2 linked regions of the Arabidopsis thaliana genome follow. The protein of the gene in region 2 interacts with the protein of the main gene of each other region in a pairwise test. Each region holds a gene or a part of one and is shown on either strand. Other genes may lie near its edges.

What was found.
Region 1: the proteins of SCL5 (region 2) and AT5G61890 interact in a two-hybrid assay, tested with the Arabidopsis thaliana proteins (one large-scale study listed by BioGRID).

Annotation. Positions count from the first base shown.
Region 1 is NC_003076.8:24,852,008-24,855,941, forward strand, and holds AT5G61890 (Integrase-type DNA-binding superfamily protein), read right to left. Parts: upstream 1,935-3,934; 5' UTR 1,738-1,934; coding exon 1,491-1,737; intron 1,132-1,490; coding exon 632-1,131; 3' UTR 315-631; downstream 1-314. Other genes in the region: AT5G61910 (DCD (Development and Cell Death) domain protein), read right to left, coding at 3,901-3,934; BON1 (Calcium-dependent phospholipid-binding Copine family protein), read right to left, coding at 3,901-3,934. UniProt on the Arabidopsis thaliana protein: Transcriptional regulator of cell proliferation and axillary bud outgrowth. Involved in maintaining the structure of the shoot apical meristem as well as plastochron and phyllotaxy.
Region 2 is NC_003070.9:18,737,673-18,741,606, forward strand, and holds the start of SCL5 (scarecrow-like 5), read right to left. Parts: upstream 1,978-3,934; 5' UTR 1,888-1,977; coding exon 1,674-1,887; intron 1,664-1,673; exon of another isoform or gene 1,502-1,663; intron 1,318-1,501; coding exon 1-1,317. UniProt on the Arabidopsis thaliana protein: Probable transcription factor involved in plant development.

The sequences.
Region 1 (3,934 bases), on a different chromosome or scaffold from region 2:
AATTGATAGAGTTGCACTAGCTAGTAGCTACTAAACCAAGTGGTGTCTGACTTTGAAGTCCAAGTCCAAGACTTCAAGTGGGTTTAAGAGCGTTTAGCAAAGTTGAATCGATGTCTATTACACGTCTAAGCCGATCCAAACGAGAATGAAGCTTTTTATATATTTTATGTCGAATTGTCGACCGCCGAATTTCGTGATCCACACACTACAATTAATGCTGATTTAGAAAGACTTTTAAAGTCAACTAAATATTACACTATCGATGGTATGAAAGTAGACTACATTAGTATTGCGTTAAAGACTGGTCAAACATCAACGGAACGTAGTTTTCTTTATGGTATTTAATTGCACCATAATCGATACTCTATATTTGCAATCTGTATAATGTATATCAACTATCTAATGCATTTTATCGTGCGTTGAAGTTCGAATCGGTGATGTTATGTTGTCATGTATGTAGGAGCCAAAAACCTCCAAGATATTAACCAAAAAAACAAGAAAACACGTTCAATAAATCTTAACGCGGAAGACAAAAATGACACTCAAAAACATTCAGGAAGCATATGATCATCTCAATTTTGACGGGAAATGTATCATTACTTCATCACAAGTAACTGATCAAATCTCCTAATTAATATCCCGAATGAGGAGAGGAAGAAGAATCCCCAAAGCGCCAGAATCTGGCATAATCTTGCTCTTCTTGTTGCCTAGAAGAGCCACCAGAAGACGAAGAAGTTGTAGCAGCAGTCGTAGTACTATTATCATGAGACATTGAATATCCGGTACCACTCCCATACCCACCGCCCAAATTAAAACTTAGCATATCACCACTACTCGCATCATGATAGTATTGATTATAGTTCGGTATACTTTGTGGTTCCATTTGTGGAATTTGGTTGGAGGAGTAATATGTAGAGTTACTTCCAAGCTGAACCCTCTCCGGGAAATTGAGTTTTGCTTTGCTTCCTTTGAACTTTAGGGCTGCTTCATCATAAGCTAAGGCCGCAGATTCAGCGGTTTCAAATGTCCCGAGCCACACACGTGCCGCCTTTTTTGGGTCTCGGATTTCAGCTGCCCACTTTCCCCATGGCCTTTGCCTTACACCTCTATAATGTCTCCTCCTCAAGTCCCCTTTATTGAAATCACAAAAGTTGAAATCAGAAAATCTTTGGTATGGTCTACTCATACATGTGCATAGTATGTAAACTTTGTATATGCTCATAGTTTATGTGTATAAATATATATCGTCACCTAATATTGGTGCTGAAACCATATACTACCAACAAAATCTCCATGTTAAAAATTACATTTTGGTAATAGCCTAATCGTTTTTTCTTTTGGTAAATGAGTATTGAAATAAACAGTATAATAATAACCTTTTAAGTTTGAGATTTACTTCTGATATGAAATTTGCACATAATTTCAATATATCCTAACATTGTTTCAACCAAAAAAGATTCAAAGATCGATATGAGCATGTATATATATACCTTGGTCTTGATGAGTAGGCGCAACTTGTTGATTAGGGTCTTGTGGATTATACACAGAAGGATAGTTATCATCAATAGAGCTGATGTTATCATGAGATTTGCTTTGTTGGTTTCCGATTACTTGAGTCAAGGCCGAGACCATAACACGCATGTCGTGTTGAGATCGGGCCGAGAAGACCGGGAACAAGTTCTCATCTTCTTCCCTTTCTTCAGATTCATCACCTCCAAAAGGCCTCTTCCCATACATCCGAGGATCTACTTTTGCTTGATTTTCTTTTAAATATAGCCTTTTCTTCCAAAAAAAAAATTTGATATAGGATTTATACAGTACTTTAGGGTTGTTCAGTTTTTCTTTATGGCATCGTTGAACATCAAGAACAAGAGGATGATAAGGAGAAGAAATTAGATTGAAGTAAATGAAGAAAGAGAGAGTAAAGTATTTTTTTGGGGGGGTTTAGCAATTTTCTGAGGCTTTTATAGAGGAATTCGTTCTACGTGTGAACATATGACCTAAAACAAATATGTTTTAAGTTTGATTTTTTTTTTTTTTTTCACATTCTTTCGTATTTAATAATTTCTTATATGTGTTTGTTTCTGTTATCGTATTTAAAAAATATGCTTGTACGACCAGTACGGATCAATGTTTTGTAATGAAGGCATGTATAATGAGAATGTTTGTTAAACTTTTCTTATTGAGGAAAGTGCATGTGTATTTAAATATCAAAAGAGAGGATATTTTATAAAGATTACTATAAAATACTACACGAGATGGGAAAACTAAACATGCAAAAGTGAAAAGAATAAAATAAAGAAGAGAGGAAAATTGCGCATGCATGTTCATGTTTTGTTTAATCATTTATTTTGTGTGAAAAGGGTTTAACACATTCATGGAATTGAGGGAAAGATATAGACTAATAGTGTTTTTTGTCTAAATTATAATTTAAACTATAAAAAGCACTGTCGTGGTCTTAGTTGTATATGTAATTTAAACCGACACATTGTTTTTTTCGTCAAAAATCGACCTGCATTCTCAAGAAAAAGGTATTAAGAAAATCTATAATATAATGTAAACCGACACCCTTGTTGTGGATCCAAACGTGAATTAAAAAGGAAATATGAGTTTGCGTACGTAAGAAGTGAACCTATTAATTTATTTAAAGACTGGTTGACTAAAATTTGCAACACAAAAGACGTTTTAAAAACCTCTAAATCCAAGTATCGTGTACACACTCGAATTGAGTTAAACAAAGTGATTATTGTTCTATGTCGTAGTATGATGAAATTGATTAAATGGTTAGTGTTACATTTTGTAGAAATTGTTTAAATTGCAAGTGTTAGGGTTGTGTACACGTTTCTACGTCCGAAAGGAGGTATTTAATTTTTACTCAATGGAGCTCTTGCCTATCTACATATTATAGGCTTGTATGTAAAAAATTTGACATTTGAAAAATTATTCACTCAAAAAAGTCAAGAGCTAACTAAGTTGACAGGTAAAGAAATTATGTACAATGTGTGACAAGTACGGATATAATAATGTAAGACTTGTAAATGTAATCCACAGCCAGTTTGACTAACTTGATCGATCATGTGTGTACTGCGTTGGTGTTAGGTTCAACTACCACTTCCCTAACCAGCTGTTTATTTATGTTTATGATCAAAATTTCTCTAAACTGTAGCTTTACTGTTAAATGTATTTGGTCTTCACTTTGGACACCCTCATCTAAATCTTAGATCACATGTGATACCTAACTATTCATTTATTTGACGGAAAATTTATAGTGTGATCAATAGCCATTTGTTCACGTTTTCAACATTTTGATAACATAATTTTATTATTTTCAATTATCCGCAAATAATGCAATATTCATTAAGAAAAAAAAATCATTGTTTTAGTTTTTAAGAAATGATTCTGATATATATGATACACATGTTTAAAAATATATTAAATTAACAAAATAACAACTATAAAAAAAAAATCTACAAAAAATTGTTTTTGGGAATTCTATGGTTATTATCAGTCTCTTACATAATTGATATAACAGTCTTTACCTTTTACTTTTTGGACACTTTCTCCATATGTCAAATCATTAGTTGAAAATGCAAAACAATATTCATCTGTAACTTGAATGTTTTTTTTTTTGTTGGACGTTCACTATTCTCTATCAATAGAAGAAATTAAGCTGCACAAAACAGATATCTTCAAATTCCAAGTATTGATGTAAAAGAAATCAAGACAAATGTGTACATCAGCCTCTTCATTCGAAACTTACATCCCACATTCAGACATTTTTATTATAAAAATGGAAAAAGCTTATGTAATCGCGCAAAACGACAGCGATTTTTAACCGCCGCAGTGGTTTATGTAATGTATAATATGTACACACTTCATTTACACACGAGACGAGATCATTCATGGAGGAATCGGTTTCATATTACGGATTCTC
Region 2 (3,934 bases):
TCCTTTCCTTGTGATCTCTAGCGAGTTTCACATCTATTGATTCGAAAACTGCCAAGTAATGGTTCATTGTCTCGACAAACCGGGGAAGAAACGGCGCAGTGTTTGTATTCGCTTCTTGCTCAACCAGAGTCACAACGTTTGGTGACAAGTGTTTGACCAATCTCAACAATCTATCTCTGTGATTCTCCACAGTTACACTCTCATCAGGCATGTGGTGAAGAACAAGCGGGAAGTTAACCGCGAGCGCTTCTCCATTTCTAACTCCTAGCTTCTCGATTTCGACTTCCGTGCAGCATAAAGCAGCTCCATGGAACTCAAACGGAACACCGCACATTTCAGCTAGCTTCCCAAGTCTTTGTCCAACTAACTCAAGTCCTCCTTGACGAGCAAACGATGATCTCGGATCATCAATTCCCGTTATCCTAACGTTCGGAGGTCCACCAGGTCTAGCACCAAGAGCACGGATCAAACTCACCCATTGACCACCTTGAGAAATCTGGAAATCGATAATGTGCACAAAACTTTCGTTCTTCACAGCTTCAGCTATAGCTCCATTAGCAGATTCATAACCGAATTTGAAATAAGGGCAGGCTTCATACAAGATATGCATATAAGTAAGAAGCTCAGGACCCGTTGGGTCTTTGCATCTCAATGCTTTATAGATGGAGCTACCCGAAGAAGCTAACCTAGCAACGAGACCTTCAAGCATATAAGCTCCTAAGCGCTGAACAGGCTCACCAGAAACAGAAACCATTTGCTGTAACTGAGAGATCAACCAATCAGTCATTTCCAAATCATAGTTTTCAACAGCTTTTGCGCATTCATAGAGCACTCCTTTTAAATCTCCCCTAGAGATCATCTCCATAGATCTATACATAGCTGAAGAAACAACTCCATGCTGCTGTCCAAACCCGCCTTGATTGTTATAGCTGTTGTCTACATCAGGCTCCATCATTGCAGTCTCCAAATCTTTAAGCATGAGACTAAGCTCTGTCTCGTTGGTGTTTGTCGCTGAAGAACCGCTCAAGGGAGAGTTATTGTTTTCTTCAGGGGAATGATTGTTAAACCTTGATAAGTTGTTGTTGTTGGCTTGAGAAATGGGACTTTCATTAGAGGAAAAGCTTGTGGTTGAAGAAGAGTTGTTTTTGTTGTTAAGACAAGGATGAGACTTGGTGCCTGAAGAGGATTCAAGTGTGCAGTAAGAATCAAATGTCTGAACAGAAAGGTCCATTTGTTTGACTGAAGATGGTTGATGGTAAAACATTGAAGATCCTTCTTGAATCATATGTTTCTGAGTAGCTTCCATATCTAAATTATCTGCCACACCAAAAAACAGAATCTTAGTTTTGAACAAGATGATAAGAACCCTAAGATTCTTAAAACGGTTGGATCTTTATGTAGATAGATTCAGTTAAAGATCGACCCAATAGAGAAAAATCATAAACAAGATTGAATTCAATTATCATTAGGGAGACAAAGTTGAGAGCTTTTTAACCGTAACTATGAGCTAAGACAACTGTTACATAAAACCCTAAGCTCAATTTTCAACACAGCCCAAACCAAAAAACAAAGTAAGTTGTGTTCTGTAACTAAGAAAATCAAAGAAACCAGAACTCAGCGAAAGCAACCGACATAAAATAAAAAGATGGAAACTTTGAGATCAAGAATCTAACCTGGTTGGTAATAGTTTGCAGAGAGACAGATAGGAGACTGAGTTTGAGAGATTCTTTGAGATTTTGAGAAAAAAGATTTGGTTGATATTGAAGCTTCAAGGTAAAGAGAGAATCGAATCAAAAGAGAAGTGCTTTGTTTGTTGATGATACCACTTGCTTGCCTACTTTCCACCAGGGGAATAATAAAAACGCTTAACCTCATTTTTATCCTCATCTCTTTCTAAAACCAAATACCCCTTTGACTACTCATTTTTACGGTTTTGCCATTGTTGCTTATTTTGTAGCGCGTAAAGAATAAGAATTAAGTACCTTTATTTCTAATAACAGTCAATATTAGTCTGACGAGTAAACAACTGTAATATATAACTGGAAATAAAATAAAATTCCAAAAACAAGTGTCATGCATTACATCACTATTATCTGAGTAATTGAATCATACGAGTATTATATAATGATTTTCATATATTAAATGATGAAACATTTGGGAGTTAATGAGAGTAGTTGAAATGTCGTGGCTGACCATGTTTTACCAGAGTCAAATTGCATTAAGTAATTCAACATGTTTTAACAGTTTTGTTTGTTCTATTAACACACTTTTTTTACCTAGAAAATTCATGGAACCATGCAAGATCAATAGTATGATATATAAATGTTGCGTTTTCCACAATAATAGTATACAAAATGAAAAAAAAAAAAAAAAAAAAAGCGATTTTGTTTTGTCTTTGTGTATAGACTATTTTATGTAAATCCAATCGTTCGAAATGAATGAAACACGAGCAAAAGCAAAATAAAATGGGTTGTTGTCAATTGAGTATAATAGTAGGCTAGTAGCACATGGTTCTTCAAAATATTAATGTTAAATTCTTTGGAATAAAATTAAAAAAACGTACGAAACGAATAATTACGAGAACTTAAGAATGTAAAACAAATCATGATGATGATTGATTATTCTATGTGTGGACGACGAATGCAATAAACATCTCTTTGTTTTACTTTCTATTTAGTAAACCTTGAGTCCTCGATGGCCAATCAAAGTACTATACGTAACTTTGTTTTGGGTAGGGAGTACTACTATACATAATTAATGTAGCATAAAGCATAACGATATATTTTCGCCTTAAAACTGTAAACTTAACCGTAATAAAATTGTGTGCCGCATGTCTAAATAATTCGTGTGTTCATCTTTTAGTGAAGTAATAAAAGGCAAGGGTAAAATGGTCCGCACAGACGCAGACATCGATGAGATCGAAAACAAAAGTAACGAGATGAGACCAAACGTGCAAGCCATGGGTTGGTCCAACACTTATCATTTTTAGGCCTAAAAGTTTGTGATTATTCCCTGCCTTTTTATCCTCCCATTTTTTCTTTTATTTACCAACATATTTTCTTTTTACATACATCAGTGAGATTTTTTCGACTTTTTTTTCAACTTCGTGTTCAAAGATCAGCGAGTTTTTTAGTTTGACTATTGATGCATCATACATTTGTTTAACCAGTGGTACATACATACGATTGATACACTTTTACAATCCACGTATTTACGACAAATGTGAATTAATATTTAATACACTTTATTATTAAATTCAGGCGTCTTTCTTTTGTGAAAAAAAAACACTTAATTATATGCATTCATTCTATAATTACTCATTTCATTATTAATTTCGTAAGTAATTATTTAGTATTATACTACTACCCCGCAGTACCATATTATCAGCTTTGAATACCCATAAATAACTAGTTTGATAACTACAATGGATTGGATTGAAACATTAGTAGACTAGGAAAAATCTCTTTTATATAATACTAGTATTCAAAAACAAAAACAAAAACTGTTATCAAATATACATCCACTTTAGTATGTTTTCCAGTACGAACCGAAATTGGAGTATGGACACTGCATAAGCAGCAGAAATGTGTACTTGAAAGGTTCACACCTTAAGATTTCATGCCGACCAATCGTGTCGGCCCACCAACACTTTAAAGCTCTTTAACCCAATTCCGCGTTCTTTCAGAAGAACAATTTCAGCATTCAACTTTTTGACCTTCCATTTTCTTTTTCTTCATTTTTTTACATTTGATTTTCTCCCCATAAAGTTTAATTTTATCATTGTTTATGTCTTTTGTCTTTTTTATGTCTTTCCTCGAGTAACACTGTCCGAAAATAACAACTCTTAATCGTGCGCAGTCACATAATTTAGGAATAACAAAGTCATCCTTTATAATTTCATTACTAGAATTTTGAAAAGAAAATTAAGAGACTA